Caenorhabditis elegans: one gene and its partners. The protein of the gene in region 1 interacts with the protein of each later gene in a pairwise test. Each region holds a gene or a part of one and is shown on either strand. Other genes may lie near its edges.

Region 1 (4,062 bases):
TGAGAACATAAAATTCGTGGAAGAAGTTATGAGTGGGAACTGAGCGCTATCAAATTTTTCAAAGTGAAAAATTATTACAGTATTTTTCATATCACTGAAAGCGCCTTTAAAAAAATAGAATTATCAATAAAATACAAAATTAATATATTTTCAGGTAGCGTTCAATTTATGAAAAAAACAGGAGACGAACAGTAATAAAACAATATTACACAATTTGTTTCAGGTTTGCTTTGACACCCTGTACCAAAACATTTCAACAATTTTTATTCATTGATTGTCTGATGGGAAAAAGAAATATCGATAAGTGATTGAAATGGAAATCTTCTCTTGTCGGGTTTCATTTGGATTTTGAACTTGCTAAAAAATTTCACCTTTTCGGGTAACGTTCTCGTGAACATGGACTGTGAACAGGTGGTAAATAAATACGCTAGTAGGCACGCAGGCAGGCTGTGGCAAGCCTACATTCAAACACCATCTATGGTAGAATCAACTTAGAAATGTGAGAGCTAATTTGCTGAAAATCCTGAAAGTTTCTATAATTTTTTCTTTTTATATTTTCAGAGAGCTTATTTTAAGGGAGTTTAAATCCCAAAATGCTTTGTAAATTATATTTTTATTAGATTTTTCCAGAAAAATTGAACAACTGCATATCTTGCAAATTGCAAGTTTACTTCGAAAAAAATTGAACTCTTCTGGCTTCAGATTCAATTTTTAAAATACTTTCTGCTATTAATTATTTCAGATAATTTGAATTCATTTCCCACATCACGTTCAAGAAGGCTTTTTTTCTTTTAGCCCAATCTCCAACCATTTTTTTCAATCCAATCAACATTTGTAGCACTACAGTGTAGTCAGTGTGTGTCAATCTGTTCCCTTTCTCTAAAGAAAACATCACAGTCCATTGTTCCGCACAGTTGATTTACTTGTGTATTTACTTTCAGTGCCTATCCTATTTGTAGTGCACAAATGAGAGCATTTTTATAAATGAAAAGAGTCTTCTAGTTCAAGGTATTTTGGTCAAATTACATGTTTCAATTTTCAAACAGTATAAGTTTCAATTTTTGAACATTTTAGATTTTCAATTCCTAATATTTTTTATTTACATTTCACAAATCACTCGCTACTCGGGAAACATCGCAGTTAGTGAAATATGAGAAAAAATTAGACTTTTCCAACACGGGATGCTCGCAATATTTAATTTTCCAATGAAAAGTTGCTCTTTAATCTGGTGAAAAAAAATTTTAGACTATGCTGCCTTACGGCTTATGCATAATTTTTTATTTTTTATTCATAATCTCTTCCTTAGTAGCCCACATAACTTATTTTTATTTCTTGTTTCAAGGTTTTAAAATCTGGTTTATTTTATATCAATTTTGCCAAAAATTTTCAAATCCTTGCATATTAAATTCAAAAGTGATCAATGATGTTATCAATAGGGAAACCATATGACGAGGCGAAAGGTGATAAAATGATCTGATTATTGTATTATTGAGTGGTGGCCGCCGTATTTTCACTTTGTTTCACTTCAGCCAACTTGAATTGTTAGTATCTTTTTATAGATTTTTCTTACTATTGATTGTTCATTTATTAAATAGAACTTATTATACCTGAATAAATAACATTTTCATGTTTCTTATGACATTTAGCTAATTCCACTTTGGATTATCCGTCTTTCTATTTTTCAACAAACTCATTTCCCTAATATTTTTATCATCACACATTTTCAACTTTCTTTTCAGAAAAATGCCTTCCCCAACTCATTTATTAAACAATTTCGAAAGTTCTTCTTCCCAAGGACCACCTTCATATTGTCTGATTTGTTGTGAAGTTGCTGATGGACATCATTTTGGAGCAGCAGCATGTAGGCAAGTTTTTTGTATGTTCCTGTAATATATCTACAGTAACCCAACTGTAAACGTGTTAAATATTCACAAAACGTGTACCTTGTGAGCAGAAGAAGCGCTGACAAAAAATATGTGGGCGGACCTCGGTCGATGTCGGCTGCAAATTTACTTTTTTTTCTCAAATAAATTTAACGATTATGTTTCAGAGCCTGCGCTGCATTCTTCCGACGCACAGTCCAACTGAATAAGGTCCACGATTGTCCGAAAAATGGTCAATGTTTTATCTTATCAAGTGAGTATCTATAACTACACCACTACAATTTGTATGGTCCGAACTACACATATTCAGATGTGCGTAACATGTGTAGAGCCTGTAGGTACGAGAAATGTCTCGAAGTGGGAATGCAACGATCATCTGTACAACAGAAACGTGATCAACTGGGGAGGCGAGACGGTTTACCGACGAACCGTGAAGAACCAGTTCTGGACACTATGCGGAGGGCGTATGAAAAGTTACTAGTTGTCAGGAAGAAGGTTCATAACCGGCAGGAGGTAGGGGTGATTTTATACGGATATTTGGATATTGTTAAAGGATGAAATCTGAACTTATGCTTTACATTTTTTTAATTAAAAAATACTCACAGTGAGGGTCGAACCCCCTAACTTTGTGTACAAGAAAACTCCCACTGCGCCGTTTGGGAAATTAAAAAAAAAAAAACTTTAAGAACCTCGAACATAAATTACAGAGTTTCATTTCGAAATTTTCAAAAAAATTACCAAAAGCTTAAAACTTTTTTCCAGAACCAACTTCCCCGAGCCATCAGTTTCAACGAGCTTCAAGTAGTGTATCAAAATGAGATGACTGTAATTTATCAATTCCTTTGCGAAGCATTTCCCGAGTACTCTGAGCTCCTTCCAGACACAAAACGATCGCTTTTTAAGAATTTTTTCCTACCATTCACACTTTTGGAGAGCTCATATTATGGATATTTGACGAGTAAGTTCCACTTTTTAGATAAAAATTAAAATTAAATCAAAAACTGAAATTTCAGAGCAAGAAAATGTGATGCTCATTCCTTCGGGCGACTACGTTGATTTGGCTCATCTAGAGTCATATTTCAACAATAATCATCACACGTTTTCTCAAAAAGACACTATTTCGATGTTTGCTCAGCAATTTCGAATGCTCCACACTTCTATAACTGTTCCGTTGAGTGCTGAAAATGTAGATGTTAATGAGTTTCTAGCTCTAGCGGCTATAATTCTCTGGGAATCCGATTTAGAAGTAGAAGCCGATCGGAAGAATGTTCAAGAGGAAGCTGTGAAGATTAAGAGCGCTATTATCAAGGATCTACTTTTTCACTATCAATCTATAAATGTATACGCTGACGTGGCAATGAGGCTTGGCGCTGTTTTGTCCATACTTCCTTCAATTCAGGTTTGCTGCTCGCGGAGCAACAATTTTTTGATTATAAGCTCAAAAGTTGTTTCAGAGAGCCAGTCACCGTTTCCACGAGTATATGGAAATCAAAAATCTGCTCAATTTGTATGCTCTGCCCAAGAATCTCTACGACATGTTCTCGCCAACTTCCTGAATTTTAATGTTTTTTTTAAATTTATTTTCTTAGTGTACAATAAACAAGTATTATTTTTATTTGTCTATAAAATTAAAACTTTTGTTAGAATTGTCCTGAAAAGCAGAAGTGGGGAATAAGAAGAAGAAATGTGCCGAATAAATGTACCGAACAATGCGACTTTGCAGTTGAGCAACTTTTTGAAATTTTTAATCAAAAGTAATGCTATTTTCAGAAAAAATAACTTTGGCAAATCCATAAGAAGGAGAGGATTTCGCAAATTCTGTTAATGCGCTCTGGTGGAGCATGCTCAGTTTAAAAAAAAGAGTATAATTTCGGAAAGCTGTGCAAACACGCCATGCAATTTTATAATTTTCAATAGGCACACGAGGTATAAAAGCATGCCACAACCATTGTTTTTCAAGAGTTTGTTGAGTTCTGAAATAACATCAGATTAAGCTGGAGTCCGATTTGCCTTTATGACTAATGAGCCTCGTGAATATATAATATATTGTCTCGTTAGCTCTCAGAGTGTTTGATCATATTCAAAACGTGTGTAATGAGTTCTATTTGGCAGACACATCACACAACAAATCTACCTCCAACTTTTTGATCTTACAAACTTATTTCTGCTTTTTTTAGTC
Region 2 (4,301 bases), on another chromosome or scaffold:
AAAGAAAGAGAAAACTTGTGACTGTGCTCCTCTCAATTGGAGCTGTTTCTCTCGGATCTTCTTCTTCTTCAACCAGCTGTACCTTTTCATGATAAATGGCCATGTCATGTGCTTCAAAGACAGAAAGAGAAAAGGAAGAATGTGTTCGATGACCGGCAAATAGAAAAGAGTGAGACGTTTGGAAGAGGGTGGCGGAAAGATGATAATAAATAGAATCAGTCATATGTTCCGAGGTTTTACTCATGGAACGGTGACTCATGTGGAATTTCTGAGCATTTTGTAGAAATTCACCGTAAGAGAAATGATAGGATTTGATTACTTAGTGTCTAGAAGTCTTGAAGAATGTTATTTTAATTTAGGCATTATTCAATCATTTCATTGAGCTCTAACAATGTGAGTTCTACAAACAAAACAAAATGAGCTGAACACTTTTTGTGCTAGGTCGGTTTACTTCCTGCTTTCTTACCGCTGTAATAACATTTTATGACCCTTCCAAACTCGTGATCGGCTTGAAATTGAGATTTTCAAAATGAAAGTTTGAAAACCAAGTAAAAAAATTCGAGGAAAAATAATTATTTATTTTAGTATTTAAATTGTAATTATTCTAGACTAGAGAGGCTTTTACAGCTGCCAAATCTCGTCTTTCCACTGCTCTCAGTAAATTGTCAGGGACATTCGATGTTCGGATTGCTGCTGATCTGAAATTTGTGAAGGTGATTTTAACATATAAAGCTATAAACTAACCTCATAGTTGTCCAAATACCAGATGCATCATTTCCTCCTTTTTGCAATTCTAATGCAGATAAAAAATGTTTCAAAGCTTCATCATAAGATGATAATTGCATACAAGATATTCCCAAATTGTATCTTGCTCTGACATATGTTGGATACAATTTCAAAGCTTCTCGATATGCTGAAATGGCTTCAGCTGTGTGGTCACCATTGGCTAACGTAGCACCAAGACGATTCCAGAGACGAGCATCAGTTGGATTTTTGGAGATCGCCAACTTGAGAGAGTCGACAGCTCTTGCAAAATTGCGATTCAAGTTGTATAAAACTCCGAGAGCATTTTGAAGATCTGGATCTGGAGTTGCTCCTTGTTGCCGAGCAGCATCCAAGAATCTAGCCTCAACTCGATTAAAAGTGTCACTGTCCAGAAATGAAGAGTAGAGTGGAGGTGTGGTTGTCACTTGAGTCGAGTTTGAACCCTTAAAATATTTATTCGTGTGGGATTATTCTTGAAATAAAAATAAGAAATACCAAGTAAGAAGACATCCATTTATCCAATTGATGTAAAGCTTCATTTTCCATTCCTTCGTTCGCTTGACTGACAGACAAACCAAGAAGTGCCTGAAATAATTTTGATTTTATTGGAAGTTTTTTTTTTTTTTTCTTAATTTCTGTTCTTAAAAAGTTTTAAGAGACAGATATGAATTTTATCGCGACCTATCTATTTTATGGCATCAAATAATCAAATATTTTTCTCAAATTTTACCTCCTTGTTTCCAGCGTCAATCTGCAAACATTTTTGGAACGCTTGCATTGCTAACTGATCTTTTTCATTTTCAGCATGAGCCAATCCTAATTTACACCAGGCACGTGCATCCTGAGGATCTTTTTGAACTGCTGCTTCATAGGCAAGCATGGCATTTCCAATATCTCCATTTCTCATTAGATTGTCTCCTTCCATCAGTGGATCTGACATGGTTGTGAAAGGGTTTGCTTCCTGAATAGGAGGGTTATAAAAATGTGTTAAAGAAGACAAAAATCTTACCTGATAAACATAGTTTTCAGGACTTTGAAGAGATTCGTCCTTTTCCATATCTCTCTTAATTTCCTCCCATCTCTGTTCAAAAGCCTGTGCATCTTTCCAAGTGTTTTCCATTCCATAATTATCTTGTTGCTCCATAAAATCATCAGCCCAGTTTTGAGTCCCAGAAGATTTGGTTAAAGAAGTATCCACAGTATCCAGATATTCAGATGACCACATACCAGCATCTGTTATTGGTTGATGTGATGACGTGGATGTCATTGATGGAGCTTGAACTTGACGCCATGCAGATTCCATGCTTGGAGCACTAGATGTGTATTGTTGACTCCATTGACTCGCTAACTGGTTCTGAAGCAATCAATTGAAAATACCAATATATGAATGCATTAGAAATACCTGTCGCGGTTGAAACTCCTTTGTCCAATTTGCTGCCAAACTTGAGGATGCTGATGCCTGTGGTAAATTATTCTGCATCGACTTCATGCTGAAACTTGTTGGAGCCATTGTTCTCGCTTGTTGTCTTAAAAATTCATTAGCCATTTGTTCTCCCATAGAAGAAGATGGGAGAAGAGAAGCTGCAGCTAAAAACTTTTTTTTTTGTTAATTTTTACTTGAATATTTCCAGCTTACCATTACTCGGAGCGACTCTTTGATTGGATGTTCCAAATGTGTTAGCTAACCCGACAAGAGCATTCTGCTGTCCACATTGTCCTTCTACAACTCCTTTCATTCTGTAAAAAATTGAAGAATTCGAGAGTTAATTGTTGAAAAAAAGTAGAATTAAAAATGAAGAAAAATACAATTTACAAGAAATATATAAAATAAAGTGTGAATTTTGATTGAAAAAGAAAATAAGTGGGCCCCAGTGTAGTCTTTTCATCAAATTGATTGATACTACATTAGGATTTAGAGTGAAGGAGACGTAGTGATAAAAAGATAGTATTGTCTTATCAAAAAGGATACAATTGATGAAATTTAGATAAGGAACAACGGAGGTCGACTATCGATTTCTGAAATAACCGGGAAACGTTTATGGATTTTTTTTCCAAGTTTTCCTAGCAAGATTGAAAACGTAATAAAATAGAATACCTTATTGTAAGTTTCCAAATTTCAATCCTTCAATTAGATATTCTAGTTGCTAGTGGAGTTATCCTAGATCGTTTTAAATTAAGCAAAATGGATATTTTGCACTTGGTTTGATTTTCAACAACACGGGTTTCTGGCTCGACCCGTCGCCCCATTGCACACTTGCACGGGGGAAAAATATTTGATTGTGCAATAATAATAATAATTTTTCGTGTGCAAAAGACAAATTTTGCTCGAATGAAGTTGTGAATTTAAAGAGAGTTCCCCCATTATTCCATAGCTAGGATTGATGTCATCTGGATCAAAATTTCAAAGATATCGAAACTGGCAGGAAAAACATTATTAACCAAAAAAATGTCAAGACAACCTTATTCGTCGACTGCATACATTCAGTTTTTTCCCCTATTTTGACATATTCTGTATACCTATAGGTTTTGTAACTATAAAACATTCCTTGAATACTTTTTTGTATAATGTCATCATTATTATATTTTCTTTTATAAACAAGGCCTATTAAAATGTCCAATAAAACTACGAAGATATACACAAAAGGTGTGATTTTATAATGTATTCCCTATAATTTAAACGAAACGAAACGAAAACGGGCGGCCCCTTGTACTGACAATTGACGGCATAAATATGAAACACGAAATGGTCTTTACATTCTTACTGATGATGGTTAGACCAGAAGCTTCAACCTCCAGAATTCCACGTAGAAGAACCACATTTACAGTGGAACAACTATATTTACTCGAAATGTATTTTGCACAAAGTCAGTATGTTGGATGTGATGAAAGGGAAAGATTGGCAAGGATTTTGAGTCTAGATGAATATCAGGTTTCTATTGTTTTTAGAAATCTATTCTCTATTAAAATTGTTTGCGAAATTTATCCACCAGGCTGAGCTCCAGCAACTTCTACGTTAAGTCTAACATATCCGATTGTATGTTGTAAAGATGTGATTAGATCAATCTAGGAAAAAAATAAAAAATTTTTAAATCAGTTGTTATCATTCAATAATTTTCCGAGACGTAGCACATTACAGGTGAAGATTTGGTTCCAAAATCGTCGAATCCGGATGAGAAGAGAAGCCAATAAATAATAGTCAAATATTTATTTAATTTCATTTCACTGAAATAAATTTTGTAGTTAGAACCACTATTTCCAACATTGAAAACATCGCTTTACGGTTTTGAAAACTCCTCGAGAGCAAATTCCTGATCATCTGACACTTTTCCAGACATTAACCCATTGTCTTTTAACCTGACAAATTGTCGATTTCTTGGACAAACAGTCAAGTTGGTAGGCGAGTCATGGGGAGTACACTACATAAATGAGTTGTGATGTTTGATTTTTCTCTTTTTTGTATGTTTTGCATTGATTAGAAGCAGCCAATTCTTTCTTAAAAAATAATAAACTCATATTGTTTAAAAAATCATCTAGTG
Region 3 (3,279 bases), on another chromosome or scaffold:
TCTGGAGTCGTGGTTCCGCCATTGAGACAAAGAGGAATCTCGCAGTTACCGCCGGTGAAAAATTCGCCACAATAACATCCCTGAAAAAATGTAGTGCTATTAGTAATCTCATACATATAAAGATGACATTTTCCTACATATGTATAAAAATTGCAAAAAGTGAAACTTCAAATATCCATATTCTAAGACTTTTTTTCAATCTGCTCCAATTTCTCAAATCTGTTTAAATTTTTGACAAATGTTAATCAGTTTTCGGCTATTTTTGATGTCACTTGGTCTTAGAGCTTATATAGCTTAACAGTCAAAAAAGTTACGCACTTGGAACAAAAAATGCTCTAAAATTTCCAGATAAGAATTGGAAAGGTTTTGATTTGTTCCTTTCATGAATTGTGGTTTTCAATTGTTTGTTTTAAAACTATTTTCAAAAATGCAGCTTGCGATCATTCATGTGTTGTTCGTAGTTTGTGACGTCAATTTTAAAATCTTCAAGAAATACTTGCATTTCTATAAAATTGATTTGAAATTTTGAAGCCTAAATTACTGTCAAAAATTTTGATTCGAAGGTTTTCTAAAACAATGAGTGATTTCGGGCGTTATATCAAATATCCAAATATATAAAATTTCATAAAACTACTATAAACTATATGCTAGAAACTCGTATTTATACTAGAAATACTAGAAACTAGAAACTATAAAAACCTGGAACATCAAATAAATTTAATGTCAGACTACAACCCTTTAAACTACATACCAACGATTTATTAGTTTGAGCTTCAAGAATTTTATATTCTTAAGAGGGACGCACAAAAAATCACTCTTCACACTATTTCTTTGTTGAATAGAGGTCAGCGGCTTTTAAAAATTATAATTTGAAAAAAAATTGGGACTTTTTCAAAAAAAAAGCTTCCAAACGTCCCTATTAGGAAATGTAAACTTATTCCCAAAAAATTAAAAATTCCAGAGAAAGTAGACAAATTTCAGAAAACTTACCGCGCTACATCTAATACTTTCTCATAGGTTTTTTTATTGGGAAACTGATGAAAATTATTTGAATTCATAATAAAATAAATTCGTATTTAGCATTTGAAAATTTGCACCAATGTATTATTTAATTTTTTTTTTCGAAAATTTAACGCATTTTCTCTCTAAAAACTCGAAATTTAGTGTGTTCTAAACAACAGTAAGCATACAATACCTTTGTTCAAAATTGACGTGCTTTCTGAACCAATATGGTTAGTTTCAAAAATTTTTGTATTATAGGATAGAAATATTTGGAAATAAATTTTAAAACCAAACTTATGCCTTTCTCTTTTAGTATCCCAGCTAGGTAATATTTTAGTATTTGCCCAAATCCTTGAAGTAAGGAGTATATAATTTTTGAAAAACAATAAAACTCCAGATAATTCATAGTTTTTTCTCGAAAGAAAATTTTTGAGATTAGTTATTGAACTTCATTTTTGAACATTATTCGTTGAAAAACACTCGCTTTGTCTTTATTTTCAAAAAAATTCCGATTTCCCCAACCAGAAAAAAAAACAGATAGAAGAAATTTCTCCTTAAATTTCATTGTCCATCTCTCTTGGAAACACATTATCTATCAAATGAAAAACGCATTTTTTTTCCTGGCAGAAAAATGAAATTGGTTAGATTACACTGGTTAGGTTTGAAGGTGTAACTTTCGCTTTCTCAGCAACTTTCAGTATAAAAGGAAACGGTCACCATTTAGAAAGACATCAGTTCATCAACATGGGCAAGCTCATTGTGGTTGGATCCTGCGGAGTACTTGTGTGCGTTCTTGCCTCGCTTTACACCATCGGAAACCTTCTCAATGAGATCGAGGAGCTTCAAGTTGAGTTCCAGGATGGTATGGTTGAATTTAGAGTAAGTTTTACATAAAGGAAGTTAGTGTTGTTATCAATTCACTTTGTGTTCAGGCTATCACCCAAGACACCTGGGCTCGTATGGTGAGCAAGCACATCAACCCAACCGGACACACAAATGCTCCACCAACCTTTGAGACTCTCTTCGGAGCCCGTACCGCTCGTCAAGCTGGATTCGAGCAATGTAACTGCGGACCAAAATCCGAGGGTTGCCCAGCTGGACCACCAGGACCACCAGGAGAGGGTGGACAGAAGGGAAATCCAGGACACGATGGAGACGATGGAAAGCCAGGAGCTCCTGGAGTTATTGTTGCCATCACCCACGATATTCCAGGAGGATGCATCAAGTGCCCACCAGGACGTCCAGGACCAAAAGGACCATCAGGACTTCCAGGATCTGCTGGACCAGCCGGAGGAAACGGAAGACGCGGACCACCAGGACCAGTTGGAGGACCAGGAGAGCAAGGACCACAGGGAGATGCAGGAAGACCAGGAGCCGCCGGACGTCCAGGACCAGCAGGACCACGTGGAGAACCAGGAACCGAGTACAAGCCAGGACAGCCAGGACGTCCAGGACCACAAGGACCACGCGGAGAAACCGGACCAGCCGGAAATCCAGGAGCACCAGGAAACGATGGAGAGGCTGGAAAGAACGGAAACGCCGGAAGACCAGGACCACCAGGGCATCCAGGAAAGAATGGAGTTCCAGGACAAAAGGGAGAGGATGCCGCACCAGGACCAGATGCTGGATATTGTCCATGCCCATCTCGTGCAGCTTACAAGGCTTAATTCTGCCTTTCTCTGTCTTTTTTATAAATTTTCGAACATTCCAAATTGTGTTCTGTTTCTGCACTTTTTTTTAAATTGCAATTTCACATGCAAATCAAAATACTTCAGCTTTTCAAATCTGGCAAATTTCTTTTTTTTTTTAATTTGGAACACTTTTTAAAAACCAACTCTAAAAACCAACTACTAGAATTATTTACCAAAATAGAAAATTATACCAAGATTGTCCTTCGAAATATAGTCCAGTTAAAAAAATTTTTTTGCCGGGCAGCCCCAGTCCACCTGAAAATAAAGCCACCTACGTACCGTTTCATTATACAGAATTCCTCCATTTTCACAAAACCTTGCTGGCGTCGTCGAAACGTGCACGGAAGGTGTTGTGAATGTAATTTCACTTAGGTCACAGCTAAAGTCGTAGATTCTCTGGAACCTGTTTCCATCACTATCGTATCCTAGAAACCGACAATGAGAGAAGGGAGAAAATAGAAAGGAGAAATACCTCTGAACTTGGCATGATACAAGTTTTGAGACGTACAGTTATAAGATTGTTGAGTGATATGAGGGGTACTGCAGCCGTATCTGAAAAATGGTTTTTCTGCCAAAGCAATTATGT

Evidence for each region. Proteins that work in one complex are often made in the same cells at the same time.
Region 2: the proteins of nhr-53 (region 1) and prx-5 interact in a two-hybrid assay, tested with the Caenorhabditis elegans proteins (one large-scale study listed by BioGRID).
Region 3: the proteins of nhr-53 (region 1) and col-19 interact in a two-hybrid assay, tested with the Caenorhabditis elegans proteins (one large-scale study listed by BioGRID).

What each region holds. Positions count from the first base shown.
Region 1 is NC_003283.11:15,700,041-15,704,102, reverse strand, and holds nhr-53 (Nuclear hormone receptor family member nhr-53), read left to right. Parts: upstream 1-1,739; 5' UTR 1,740-1,743; coding exon 1,744-1,865; intron 1,866-2,050; coding exon 2,051-2,136; intron 2,137-2,193; coding exon 2,194-2,396; intron 2,397-2,645; coding exon 2,646-2,841; intron 2,842-2,896; coding exon 2,897-3,282; intron 3,283-3,337; coding exon 3,338-3,439; 3' UTR 3,440-3,497; downstream 3,498-4,062. UniProt on the Caenorhabditis elegans protein: Orphan nuclear receptor.
Region 2 is NC_003280.10:8,703,025-8,707,325, reverse strand, and holds prx-5 (TPR_REGION domain-containing protein), read right to left. Parts: upstream 2,503-4,301; 5' UTR 2,502-2,502; coding exon 2,402-2,501; intron 2,353-2,401; coding exon 2,168-2,352; intron 2,120-2,167; coding exon 1,775-2,119; intron 1,727-1,774; coding exon 1,496-1,726; intron 1,351-1,495; coding exon 1,261-1,350; intron 1,209-1,260; coding exon 745-1,208; intron 699-744; coding exon 605-698; 3' UTR 566-604; downstream 1-565. Other genes in the region: Homeobox protein ceh-7, read left to right, coding at 3,497-3,694, 3,902-3,958.
Region 3 is NC_003284.9:419,978-423,256, forward strand, and holds col-19 (Cuticle collagen 19), read left to right. Parts: upstream 1-1,729; 5' UTR 1,730-1,746; coding exon 1,747-1,881; intron 1,882-1,934; coding exon 1,935-2,669; 3' UTR 2,670-2,714; downstream 2,715-3,279. Other genes in the region: hrg-11.4 (VWFA domain-containing protein), read right to left, coding at 1-80, 2,973-3,118, 3,166-3,245. UniProt on the Caenorhabditis elegans protein: Nematode cuticles are composed largely of collagen-like proteins. The cuticle functions both as an exoskeleton and as a barrier to protect the worm from its environment.